Lonchura striata: one gene and its partner. The protein of the gene in region 1 interacts with the protein of each later gene in a pairwise test. Links are inferred from orthologs where the notes say so. Each region holds a gene or a part of one and is shown in the gene's direction. Other genes may lie near its edges.

Evidence for each region. The genes of interacting proteins can lie anywhere in the genome.
Region 2: the proteins of INPP5K (region 1) and MAD2L1BP interact in binary tests that used the Homo sapiens proteins (3 or more experiments, as listed by UniProt). The link is inferred for Lonchura striata from reciprocal best matches to the Homo sapiens genes INPP5K and MAD2L1BP.

The regions. Positions count from the first base shown.
Region 1 is NC_134622.1:6,839,206-6,846,277, reverse strand, and holds the start of INPP5K (inositol polyphosphate 5-phosphatase K), read left to right. Parts: upstream 1-4,052; 5' UTR 4,053-5,651; coding exon 5,652-5,923; intron 5,924-6,099; coding exon 6,100-6,207; intron 6,208-6,828; coding exon 6,829-6,937; intron 6,938-7,072. UniProt on the Homo sapiens protein: Inositol 5-phosphatase which acts on inositol 1,4,5-trisphosphate, inositol 1,3,4,5-tetrakisphosphate, phosphatidylinositol 4,5-bisphosphate and phosphatidylinositol 3,4,5-trisphosphate.
Region 2 is NC_134605.1:36,066,876-36,073,158, forward strand, and holds MAD2L1BP (MAD2L1-binding protein), read left to right. Parts: upstream 1-4,433; coding exon 4,434-4,619; intron 4,620-5,230; coding exon 5,231-5,761; 3' UTR 5,762-5,774; downstream 5,775-6,283. Other genes in the region: GTPBP2 (GTP-binding protein 2), read right to left, coding at 78-262, 865-891, 3,044-3,226. UniProt on the Homo sapiens protein: May function to silence the spindle checkpoint and allow mitosis to proceed through anaphase by binding MAD2L1 after it has become dissociated from the MAD2L1-CDC20 complex.

The DNA.
Region 1 (7,072 bases):
GCAATGACCATTTTAAAGCTTTTGACTTGTTTTCTTTCTATTCTGTTAAATATGTCATCAGTCTGAGGGCTGGTTTTGCCAAATTTTTCTTAGACACTGCAAAAATGTTGTATAGTGTTAGAGAGGTAAGAAAGCAAGGAGAAAGAAGGGATTGTCCATTTATATTAGCAAGAACAGGTTATTAGGGCAGTAAAATGCCATCCTTGGAAGGAATGGGGTGGGGCAGAACCACATCTTCCTGGAGTACTCACTGTTTACTTCTGTTTGCCCTCTGTTATCTCCTGGTTATTTGGTGGTATGTGGGGAACACGAGGAGAAGAGGGAGTGTCTTTTGATAGAAATATTTTAATTTTTGAATGCAGCTTCAACCACTTGATTTTCTTCTCTCCCATTTCCTGCGGATCAGTGCTGCAGTGTAACCCTGCATTGTCTGCCTGGCGACGGCGTGACTCACATTTGCTCTCTCAAGGTTGTCTGACACCTCCCTTGGCACACTGCTCTTCCAAAGCCATCCTGAAACGTTTCCCTGTTGTCTCTTTGTTTCAGTTTGCAAGACAGTCATCAGGAAGGCCCAGGGAATCCACACCCTCGACTGACGGACCATCTCTGGATCAAGCCTTTCTCTGTCCAACTGGCAGGCGATTTTAAACCTCCCATAGCTAATTCTAGATGCCCCTTAATATTGTGAGCAAATAGACAGTCTGGTACTAAGCACTCCAGTGTTAGCACGTGTATCCCAAGGAGTTCCCTCCTCGGGGCGTGTGACTTAGAGATCGCTGTATTTACAACTCCTCCCTCCTCTTTTTTTCATTGTGTTCAGACCAATTTCCATGTGGCCCTGTTTGATTTCCAAGTGACATTTTTAGCTCAAATAGTCTTGTGATGTGGTGACTTAGAATTTTTTTGTTTTGGTTTGTTTTTTGGTTTTTTTTTTCCAAGTGGGATAAGCTGCCACCTTTGTTTCTGCCCAGTTCTTCAATGTTCTTTGAATGTCTGTTTGGAGAGGAAAATAGTCCATATTTAAAAGTGCAAAACTCTTCCACAAAATGTTCTGCTCTCACCCTTGCTCCCAGAGGGAGATATTTAACGGCAGGTAACCTGAGTACAAAATGAGGAGCAGCCAGTGGGTTCTTGGTTTGTGGTGAGTTGGGATTTGTGGCTTCTGCAGGGCATTACTTTGTTCTGTCTTAACAAACATGAATTAAAGACTGTCCAGAAGCTACAGTCAGGCCCTGTACTGGGGCATTCAGCACTTACCTGTTGATTTTCCATTTTAAGGGTCTCTCTGGCCCATGTAGCTCTGTTGTCCTCCAGCTGTGTGTGTCAGTCTTACAGAATCTTTCTTGACACATGTTGCAACTTCCTGGTTCTTTATTAAGACTTCCCATAACTTATAAAGCTAGAATGGTTTTGACTAATAATAACGATGTGATTCTCCCTGGACAAATTGGAATGTTGCAAAGGCTGGTGTGCAAGAGAGGTGTTGGCATCTGGTTATATCCAGGTGCCTGGGGTGGTGGTTCTGCTCAGCAATAATATTCTTCCCATTGCAAGACTGACTAAAGTATCTCCTTTTGTGCTGTAAGAAAAAATACTTATAAAGACCTGCAGTTTTCTAGGATATCTGTTGGTTATTATAAATCATAGAGGATACTGTTAATGTAAAGAGCTCTCGTTATGTAATGAACTGAAGTATTTACTGTAACTATCCTTATGTTGGTATCAGCTTTAGACAATCAACTCAGCAGAACAGAATCAAGGAAATGCTGCTTTCTTCAATACATATGAGGAAAAAAAAATCCTACTTCTTTGCTTATCCCCAAGGCCCAATGCTTGATTTTTTTTCCCTCCCCTAGTAGTAGTTGTTGTGGACAAATTCGATTGGGGAGGCTAATTATAGATAAATTAATTAACAAGAATTTATTAAGCAAGCGGTATTAACCAAAAGAACAGCGCTGGGCGGCTGGGGAGCTTCTGCTCTGCCATGGCGCACCTTCCCCCTTTGACCTTTTTGTTTTTATAGTCCCTTTTTTCTCCCAGTTGACATATTTTCTCTCAATGCACCGGTGCAATTGGTCGCTGGGGGGTCTTTTTTTCTGCCCTTGGTGGTCATAGGAATGAAGGCTTCTCATCTTCCTTGCAGATTGTCCTTGGCCTAAAAGTTAACTTGTACATAATTAGTTACACAGTCTTCTATGCTAGTTGCATTCCCTACTCAGTTCAAACTTTTCTCTCCTTTAACACTCGTTTTGATGAACAAAGACCTTTTTATTTATTACGGTAATAACTTTATTTTCCACTTCTGTGTTTGGCAGCACTAATGTGAAACTCTGAATGCCAAACACTCGTGGGTGTATCACCACTTTTGAGGAGTCTTTTTAGCATTCTGCAATACACTGACTCCTCCAGCCCTTCCCACTCGTGCAAGCAGGAGATCCTGAAATGATCCCATGCCCTGCTGAACAAAGCTGTGCTGGGATCAGAGCTGTTTTCAGTGTGAGAGAAGACGGGAATGCTCTGGAGGGAGAGGATGGCATTGGTTTCTGGGGAGGGGGCAGTTTATCCCTTTATTTTTAGTTTGTTATTTTGCCTTACTCATGTCTAAGTGCAATAAGCTCTGAATTGTACCAGTAACTCTGGCAGGCTCTTCTCAGTGACCTCAGACGGTTCTGCGGGGTTGGGGTGGGGTTTGAGGGGTTTTAGCAATCTCACCAGGCAGAAGTAAAACAAGTTTATTGTAAAATAGGTAAAGAAACTAAATTTTAATCTTTGAGGCTATTTGGGACCAGGATGTTTCATGACATGTTGTATAGCTGTTCCAGAAGTATTCTAGGAGTGTAGGCCCCAGTTAGAGTCCTTTCAGTTTGAAGTATTTTTAACAGAGAATTTATGCACTGACTCCTGTTCATGTTTGTTGGCTATGTTTTGAGGGATTCTTACACTTGAGGGCAACCTGAGAATACACATAGCACACTTGTTCTTTCAGTTTGTGTTATCCAAGAGGCTTTCCATCTGATGACACTAATCGCCGTGGAAGCAGATTGTAACATTCCACCATTGCAATCCTTTTTTTGATCCTCTGATTTCAGAGTAAGAGCTTTTACACAAAGCTTTCCTGATTAGTGGAAAAACTTGGAGGGAGGCGGGGGGAGGGGGGGAACTGCAGGACCTTCATCCTGAATACTCCCCCTCTGCTCCCTGCCCTTTGTTTTCCGTCCTTCCAATTTGATCCTAAGTGAAAACATCCCTCAGCCTTTGGATAGACAAATCCTGTAAAGACCCTTCAGTCTCGACGCTTGGTTCCTGCTAGTGAGCATAGCAAAGATCACGCAGCGTTCCCGTGCCGTATCTTCCATCAGCTTTGGCGAGAACCCCCGGATCTGCCGGCTCCCGGCGGGATCCCATCCTGAGCGGCTGGATGCGCTGGGATCGCCACTGCCATCCAGGCCCGCTGGGTTTGGGGCTCCAGGGGCAGCCCCCTCGGCCCAGCCTGGCTCAGGCTGGTTTGCTGACAGGGCCGCTCGCCCCTCATATCCCGCAGCCCTCTGGGTTCATCCCGCCACGTCCCGAGGGGTTCTCCGCGCTCTTTTCCTTTGGCGACACACACTTCGTAGAATGGGTTAGATTATCTCGTCGTTTCTTTAAATGTGAGTTTGTGCCTTTTTTGTCTCCTAAATCTTCCAATACAGGCATATTGGAAACGAAATCTAATAAAATACTAGACAGAGCCTGTCGCTTCCGCCTCCTTTTTTTGGGGTTTTTTTTTGGGGGGAGGCCTCGGTGCCATCATCCTAAAGGCTGCCGTGGGTCCTCCCGGCCGCCAGGGGGGGCGCGGCCGTGCCCGCCCCCTCACGCGCGCCGCTGGCGCTGAGGGCGGCGCGGAGGCGGCGCCGGGCCGGGCCGGGCCGGGCCGAGCGAGGGGAGCGCCGGGGGCTCCGCCGGCCCTTCCCCGTCCCTTCCCCGTCCCTGGGCAGCGCTTCCCTGCGGGAACCCGCGGCATGGAGCCCGCGGGCCTTCCCACCAAGGAGTTGAGGTGAGGGAGTGGGCGCGGGGCTGAGGGCGGCGGCTCCGAAGAGTGGCCCCCAAGCGCTTGCGTAAATTAGCGAAACTTGTGTGTGCGCGCTTATTCAGCGCAGAATTAAACAAATTGGCGGCGTTGCGTAGTCATATGAAATAGAGGAGAAAAGCTGATTTTCTGGTTTGGAAGGTCGGTACTGGAGTGGTTCAGGGAGCTTAGGGGGCATTTCTGGGTGTTGGGATTCCCCGGAGCTCTGTTTGTGTGTGATGAGGGCACTTCTGTCATGTCTCGAACTTGTCACTTTCCACGAGGAAGAAAAAGCTTGAGTAAACACTGAGCTTCTGCTTTTACGGTGTTTTAACGATGTGTCTTCGCTCTCTGTCGGTGTCCCGTCTGGGCTCGATTCCCTACAGAAACCTGCTTAGATGGGATTTGGGTAACAGCCTGTGACAGGAAAATTGAAACAGCCAAACTAACGAGCTGTCATGAGCTCAAATATCTTAAAAATCCTTTGGAGGCTTTACTATGAGCACTGTGACCCTGAGAAATTTCTCCGCTATTGAGTCACTTGAGGATTAGCAGCGGTGATGCTAAATAACGACTTTAGTAGGTTGCTGGTATTTAGGACAGTGTTTGTTTCTACCTCCGAGATCTGTGTTTTTTGTCAGTACTGTGGTCACTGGGCACCTTGAAGAACTGAATTTCTGTCTGTAATGACTGATGTCTTCCAACATGATTTCAGTTTTGTTTAATCAGGTAATTGTCTTACAAAATTAGTAACTGGAGAGCGTTCCCCAGTGATACATCTCCGGTGGCAAAATTAGATCTGCAGCCTACCTACTTTTTTTCCCCCTAGAAATTTGTTTTGGAGAGCTTTTGTGTGACTTCAGCACAGTCTTACAAAGATACATTATTAGTGAGGGAAATTATGTATCACTTTAATCTATTGTGGAAGGTTGTTTTCCTGCTTTTCTGTGCACATTTCTGTGCACATCACCTTGAGCAGGCAGTTGATTGTGGGATAAAAACACAGCCTTAATAATGGGTACTTGATGGGATTCACTAATTATCAGTGTTTATAAGGTCATGATAGAACTCTAAGATGATGGAAAATTAACAATTTATTATTTTTTAAGCCTGTCTGTTGTGTAACACAACTGACAATAAAATGAATCTCTTTTTAGAAGCTCTGTTACTGAAATAACCACTTTGTAAAGAAACAATGCTGTGATGTGAATGTTGAGTCAGTGGCTTTGCTTGGTTCTGATCAGAACTTTGCATGTTTTGGAGCTGGAGATTACATTTCTCCTTGCCTGCAGACAGGCACATGATCCATTCAAACCGACAATAAATTCTTTTAAACCCTGAGCTCGTCGAATTAACCACATTAAATCTATTATGAAAAAAACAATTCACTGCGTGTGGTACACCGCGATTGCAGTTTTTGTAACAACCCAGCGAGTGCGCTGGGAACACCACAGGTATTTTTTTTTTTCCCCCAGCATTGCTGCACCTACATTTATCCTTTTGTGTTGGAAGCAATGCTGAATCCCACAAGATCTGGAAATCCCTTTTCAATCTCTTGATTTTAACTGGCCGGTCCTTCAGGGCGTAGCTCCAGCTTGGAGAGCAGATGGCCTCGAGCAGCGAGGACGCATTTCAGCACTGCGAGGGGCTCTCCCTGAGCGAGCCGGAGAGCGGGGCCAGCCTCCGCAGCCGCTCGGCCAGCCTCAGCAGCACCGGCTCCAGCGGCCGCCTGCAGCTCCGCCACAGGGTGGCCCAGCTGATGGCCTGCGTGGAGGACATCAGCTCGGATGACGAGATCCACGAAGAAGTGTCTCGCACCCTGGATGAAGCTTTCCTCATCTGGGGGAAAAAGCTGAAGGATAAGCGGCAAGAATTCAGGTTTTGCTGCCTCCAGTTGGTTGTTTTCGTGGTGGTGTCGGGGCCTGGCAAAATGGATTTCTGGTTGATGGAAAGAGATAGAAGTTCTGTGGGGAAATTAGAATGTTCTTAGAGTTGGTTGCCTGTCCCCATTTCAATTTTAGCACTGTATTTTTGTGGTTTCTGTTTGTTTTTAGACTACACTTAGTTACCTGGAATGTGGGCACAGCTTCTCCCCCTCCTGATGTCACGGGTTTACTTCAGCTCAACTCGACGGGCCCCACCATGGATATGTATGTTATAGGGTGAGTGGTATTAAAGAACTTGCTTTATGAGTTTATTGCAAACTTGCTGGGTCTCAGCATGGTCTGTTTTGGGCAGACTGATGTGAATCACTGCCTGGGAGATGGTTTAACACTATTGCTACTAGAGGGTGAAGACTAACGTAGCCTAACTAACAGGGGACTAACTTAGAGATTATTTATACCAGTTAGCTGCTGCTATGTGGTGACAGAATGCAGAATATCTTTTTTCTAAACATGCAAAAATTTTGGGCTGCTGTTTTTTTTTTTGTTAGCATGTTCATTTTGATATGAAAGTTATTGGAAATTCAGCATGTTTTAAGGGAATTGGTGCAAGCTTGTTAGGCACAATCTGCCACTGAGTTTTCCAAACTAGGCTGGAATTCTGAAGTCCTAACAATCAGGTTTTTATAACACATCTTGAGTCTGGCATAGGCTTAAACTCTACCTTCAGGTGTATATAACCTCCTTTAATTTTGTCAGATGTGTCAGATCTGTGTGTGGGTTAAACTGCTTGAATGAGAAACTGAACAGAAAGAAATTTCTGAGGTCTTTGTTCTGCAAAGTTCCTATAAATTCTGTCCAAGCCAACTGGTGCAATGTGAGTAATTGTGATGTATTCAGCTTACAGGAGGTGAATTCAAAAATCACAAATTTTCTGTCTGACTTGGCATTTGATGATCCATGGAGCATTTTTTTCATGACTGTCTTGTCTCCCTTGGGATATATCAAGGTAATTATTCACACCACTCTTAAGTGTCAGAGCACTGAAGGAAAAGTCTTAATTTTTTTTCCTCAGATTATCCATAAAATATAAGTTGATGGTGTTTTCGCAGGTGTCTGTCATTCCATAGGTACACATATGTTA
Region 2 (6,283 bases), on another chromosome or scaffold:
CAGGATGGAGCCGCCAGCTGCTCAGGGGACTCCAGGGAATCATGCTTTGGGCCCTGCAGACAAAAGGGAGCACGTACTTCTCTGCCATGCGGCGCAGCGTCTTGAGTGAGGCTCGCATCTCCTCCTCTGAGAGGCCCACCAGCAGCCCATTGTCCTCCACGCCGATCTGATAGACGGCCTCACCGCGGCCCTCCTGCAGTCGCCACTTCAACTGTGTCACTAGGTGCTCAAAGCGATACTGCGAGGGGTTCACCAGCTTTAGCTGTTGAACAGAAGGGTAGTTCTAGTCACAGCCTGGATGGAGAAGCAATCCCATTGCCCAATTTTGTGAAGCAATGTTCCCAACTCTGATACACCTCTAGAAAGCACAGCCTGTATTAGTGTCTGAACAGAAGCCATGGAACAGGTGAGAAGGGGTTTCACAAAGGTACAAATATATGGTAGAAGAACTCTCCTGCATCCTGACATAGGGATTTGTACCCTGGCTGCTGCAGGATTAAAGACAGCACTCTGGGACCAATCTGTGATCCAGGAGCCAATAAGTGCAAATGACAGAGCAGCCACAAGAAAGTGGCAAATAATTTTCAGCAATATCTGCATCTCTCTCTCAAGAAAAATACAGTAGGCATCACATGCTAGAAGAGATTCCTAAAAATCAGTACTGAGATCCAGCTTTACCAGCTCAGCAGACTGGTTAAAGCTTGGCACAGAGACACAAAAGATGAATGGTAGTTCCTTAGTGCAGTGTCCACTCTTCCATCCTTTCCTTGGCCATGTTACCCATAGGCTGTCTTTGGTGAAGTTAATCACTGCAAAATAACCCTCTGGCAGGAAGACCTCCTTCTGCAACCTCAAAAGACTCACCTTGTACTCGATGTTCCCATCTTCTGCCTGGTCAGAGAATGAAACAAGACAGAAGAGTTAGATGCTGTGCCCACAGGGACTTCTACAGGCACCAGCTGCCCATATATTCTGAAGCTGGTGCTGAAGATTTCAAAGAGAGGGAAAGTGGCAGAAAATGACTGTGTTAATCCCAGCTTTCTGCCATTCTTTCCAACACTCAACTAGAACTTTCCAAATGATTTGTTTGTGCTGTTTGTATCCCATATCATGAACACCAAAGGACAAAACTAGAGTGGGGTACAAGGGTAGTACTGTCCAGGGGGGAAATTTTTTTCTAAACAGTAAAGAATAGGGCCAGCCTAACAGTCAGAGAGAAAGTTCCAGTTTCAAAAAGGTACAGGCCAGCATATGACTTACAGTGTCACCCCTCACCCATCTGTGACCCACAAAATGCCACCCACAGCATCCCACTCCCACCCTATCCAGCAGCTTCCATCCATCCAATGTGCACAGAAAAAGGGCCTGAGAACAAAAGCTTCTGCTTCCTCTCCTGCTCAATGATACTCTCCCTCACTCAATTAATTTTTTCATTGACTCCCTTCTACATCCTTATGTATCTTCTCTCTACAAGGAAGGACTACAGACATAAAGAAGCATGGTAATGACTCATTTGCTAGCTAGTCACTGGCCAAAGTTCTGGAGAGCCAGACCTGATTGGGACTGTCTGTACCCAATATGTTCAGAAGTACTTTCTCAGGGAAGGCTAGATGGGGTTGTAACAGAAAGGTCTGGGTACTCATCAAACTCAATTCAACCAAAACAGGCTCCAGCTTACCAAAGAGAATTGTATCTAATTTTAAAATTAGATATACAATATTTAAGTATTTTTTTCCCAGTGATTCACTATAAGGACCAATAAGAAAGGGCTGGAGCCTGTAGGAAGCCATATACTCTGTCAGACTAAATGGGGCTGGCAACAGTAGGCACTTCCTTTTCCTCTGGACACCTATTTGCATGTCAGGAGAGGCAACAGCCCTATCCTTGCCTTCCAGCTCAGCTCTTAACCACAGTGGCACTTACAGTGGCAAAAGGCCAACAGAAGTTCTCAATTGTCAGCTCAGTTCTCTGGCTGCAGAGCTATGCCATGAGAAAAAGGTACTTGTAGCAGGTTTTCCCTTCTTGCCATCTACCAGTTCTAAGCAAAACCCATTCACCTACTGCACTGTCGTCTAAATAAGGGAGTGGGTCTTCTCCAAGGCTCTTGAGACTAGAAAAGCAACGAGCCTAGACTTGCTGGGGCACACACTGCACAGGGTAGCCAGAAACAGGAAGCTGAGTTGAAACCACAAGAGACTCTCCAGCCTCCAGCTGAAAGGAACAACTGCGGCTGCAGGGCACAGTCCTGCCCGTGGAGAAGATCTAACACTAGCAAAGTACTGTTTTCACATCTTCCCAAGAGTACCAGGTCTGTCTTGTGGAGGAATTGCTTGCTCCCAGCACAGGCTATTATATATTTTACAGAAAGTTCACTGACAGGGGCCGAGCAATGGAGTCTGAACCAATGTAATTCCCCCCACAGTGACAGTTCTATGAAAGCGGTGACAACTGCCCCAGCTGAGCACACATCCACGCTACTACCAATGCCACTTCTTCCTGCTGCAAGAGACAAGTGCCCTACCCCCTGTCCATACCATCTGCAGCCCTGTGCAAGGAAACAGCTGTCAAATTAGCTGGGGAGTCACCTGTAAAGGGGCTCAGACCCAGCAGAGCAGATCGCCTCTCGGGGAGAGATGCAAATGAGATGCTTGGAAGTACGAGGCGAGCAAAGCTTTATTTTCGAAGCTTTTCGATGGGAGGCGGCAAAGCGCCCGCAGACAGACGCCAAGCAGTGCGATACCACTCACGGGCAGGGTCCGGCGGACCCCGCAGGGAGCTCGCTGGCACCGGGTGCGCGAGCACGGCCCGGAGGAGAGCCCGGGCAGGCGGGCACACGGCTCCCGGGGCCGTGCGGCTGCTGTCAGCCCGACCCCGGCACAGGCCCGCACCAGCACCGCCGGCACCTCCAGCCAGACCCAGCCAGCGGGGTCCGGCCGAGGTACCGACCCGCTCTGGGGGGCACCGGCCCTCCGGCCCCTCCCGCCCCCGGGCCTGGTCTCGCTCCCTCCGCGGCTGACGGGACGCGGCGGCCGCCGGAGCTCACCTCGGGCGGCAGGAACGGGGGGTTGTTGGCCTTCCCTCCGCGGCTCCGCCCGTTCTTCTTCTTCGTCTTCGAGCCGCCGCCGCCGCCAGGCGCAGCCCCCCCGCGCCCGCGCAGCGTAGCACCTGCCCCGCCGCCCGCCGGCCGACAGCAGCCCCCGAACAGCTCTGACACCCGGGAGTCCATGGTGGACACCGCGGCCCCGCCGCCCCGCTGCAGCGTCCGCTCCGCTCCCCGCCCAGCCCCGCCGGCCCGGCTCCGGCCCCGGCGTCACAGACAGCCGCGCGGCGCCCCGGGAAAGCGAGTCCCGCCCGCCTACGACGCCAAGAACGCGCTGCGCGCCTCCTGCTCAAAACTACATCTCCCGGCGTGCCCCGCGGCGCGACTTGCTCGGTCCCGTATGGGTTCTACCTGCGGGGGCTGATGGGAGCTGGAGTCCAACGGAGAGGGCGCCGCCTGTCGGCCCCGGTCGACAACGTGCGGGATACCGCCGCTCCCCGGGCCCCGCTGCCGGGATCTGCGGACGCCCGTGGGTTATCCATTTGTCAGTTCACAGCCCCGGGTTCCCTAGTTATTGATATCGAACGATCAGTCATTCTGGATTCAGTAAACTTAGGCACTTTCGAAGCTGTTTGGCCTTGGAGGTATCTCATGACTACGCAGAGGCAGCAGCCCGACACAGAGCGATCCCAAAGCCCACGTTAAGATCCAACGCGGAGGGCGGCCGGAACAGCAAAAGAACCTGTAGCTGTGCGCCGCATCCCCTCACTAAGTGTATTCCCAATCTCCAGTTCCACGGCCACTGCGCCTTCTCTTTCCTCGCCGCATGCCCTGGGGAGAGCGACCCTGGATCACTGTCGGTGTAGAACTGACACAGGTGGCCGCGGTTCCTGTAAAGCAGTCTCAGAAAAGCTCCTCTCACCATCCCGCCCTCCACTCGCCATGCGCTGGAGGCGGCACCCAATGGGGCGGCGGGCACAATGTTTCCAAACACGGCACTCCCTGCAAGCTCCCCGCCTCCGCCACCCCGCGGCACCGCGAAGGCGGCTCTTCCGCAAGACAGCGGAGCCGCCAGAGCTGCCGGGAGCGGGGCTGAGGAGAGCGGAGCCGCCTCCTGCGGATAGCCTTGAAAGAAGCACAGCCCAGGTCCCGGCACGGCCTCAACCGAGGGGCCCCGGGCCGGGATCGGGTTGGGAACGGAGGGGCGGGGCTACGCGGAGACCTCCGCCCCTGCCACGCCCGCCAAACTTGGTGGCGTCGCCGCCAGAGGGCGCGCGGTGCGGTCCGTGCGCCCTTCCCGTGAGGCTCGGCGGCGGCGGCATTCAAACGCGGCGGCCGTTGGGGCGCTCGCTCGCTCCGCGCTCCCGGGCTGGCGGGCCTGGGCCGCGGCGCGATGGGGCCCCAGGGGGACGCCTCGGTGCCGGGCGGCCCCGCCGTGGCCGTGGCCTTCCCGGGAGCTGTGTGCCGGGGCAGCGGCTGCCGCTTCGCCTGCGAGCTCCTGAAGCACGTCCTGCACCAGCGGAACCAGCTCCCGCTGCCCTACGAGCAGCTCGCCTTCTTCTGCCGGCGGGCGGCCCAGGTGAGGGGCGGCGACCGCGGGTCAACCCCGGGCCGGGGGACTGGGTGGGCCGCGGCGTTTGGATTTTGCTTGCGAGCTTCTGTTCTCGCTCGGGGACTCGTACAGCAACGTGTCGGTGCCTTTAAAGTAAAGCGCTTGTTGTGGCTGCATCCCTAAATGCCTTTGCCTCTTCTTTTCAAAACGAGGCAAAGGCAGCGTTAAGTTCAGGCTGCTGAAGGTGCCGACAAATTGCTCTCAGTTGATTGTTTCATACTTTCCGCTCAAAGCGTGTCACTGCCTTGTTTGTTACCTCTAAGCAAAAAACCAAACAAAAATACTATTAAATGTTTTCAGAGAGATGGCTGATCTTTGAAAGATGGGCTTCTAATTCCTATTGGAATTAATTAGTAGGGCGATTCAGATTCCAGCTGAGTAGCTATGGATTGTGCTTTCGTGTTCCTCTTGCCATTTCGTGATGCGGAGAGATGTGCATCCTCCCCATGTGGGTACCTGTAGCTCTCAAAATGAACACAAGCTGCTTGTTCCTTGACTCTCTGGGATGGGCCATGCTTTCTGCAGCATATAATACATGTTCATAACTAACTGTGTTAATATGAGTTTTTGTCTTCCAGGATGGAGTTGGAATTGGGAAACCACATTCCCTGGGCCTGGCAAGCAGAAAGTGCCAGCAGCTGCTGATGGAGCTGGAGGGATTGTTCCAGCACCTGGAAGTCATGTTTAGTCTGACGCTAGTTCCTCGGGTTCTTTTCCTACTTGGAGGCAATGTCATCAACCCCAAGGAGCTCTATGAGCTGAATTTGGAAGGGTTCTGTGAGGGCTCTGCTGAAGAGAGCCTTGAGACTGCGCCCTGTGTTCGCCAGCTCTTTCACCGCCTGTTTGTTGCTGACGTCTTTAGTGAACTTAAGGCTCTCCCTGTCACAGTCACTCTTGTCCTGGTCCAGGGCCACCGTGACTGTGGTGTTGAGTGGTTCCGGCCCAAGCTCAACTACCAAGTGCCGACCCGAGGGAGGAAGCTGACTGTTAAGTTGTCCTGTGATGGAGACCTCCATGTTAGTGCCTCACCTCCACAGCACACAGTACCTGCTTGGGAGGACTACGTCTGGTTCCAAGCACCAGTGACCCTCAAAGGCTTTAGTGAATGAATGGTTTCTGTAGAAATTTAATTGGAAATATTTAATTGGAATACTGATTACCTTTTTTCTTTAGGTGTTAATTTTAGCAAATGTAACCATGTATTTTTGAACCATGTCTGTCTGAATTTTTTTGTCTTCATGGTGTCTACTGCCTTCCTGTATCTTGCTGCGCTCTTCTATTGTCCATATTTCCTGAGCTGTTGAAGGCAAATCCTCTTTAAGGAACAGTTGCACACAGGTCCAGCGATTCTTTAGGGACCTGATCTGTGACATGGGATGAATTAATGTGTTGGGAGTAAAACTTCCATGCTGTATGCTTGCTGAACTGGTAAAGGCTGGATATGTACAATCTCCTCCTGAGTTTTAATATGGCTATTTTCTGACACTGCCTCTGTCATGTTACACATAGGCTCTCTTAGGTGAAGTTACAAAATAACTATCTGGAAGGAAAACCTGTAGTCCTTGAAAGGCTCCCTATAGCAGGAAAACCAGCAGGCAAAACTGGAGCGGGACACAGAGGTAAAATTGTTG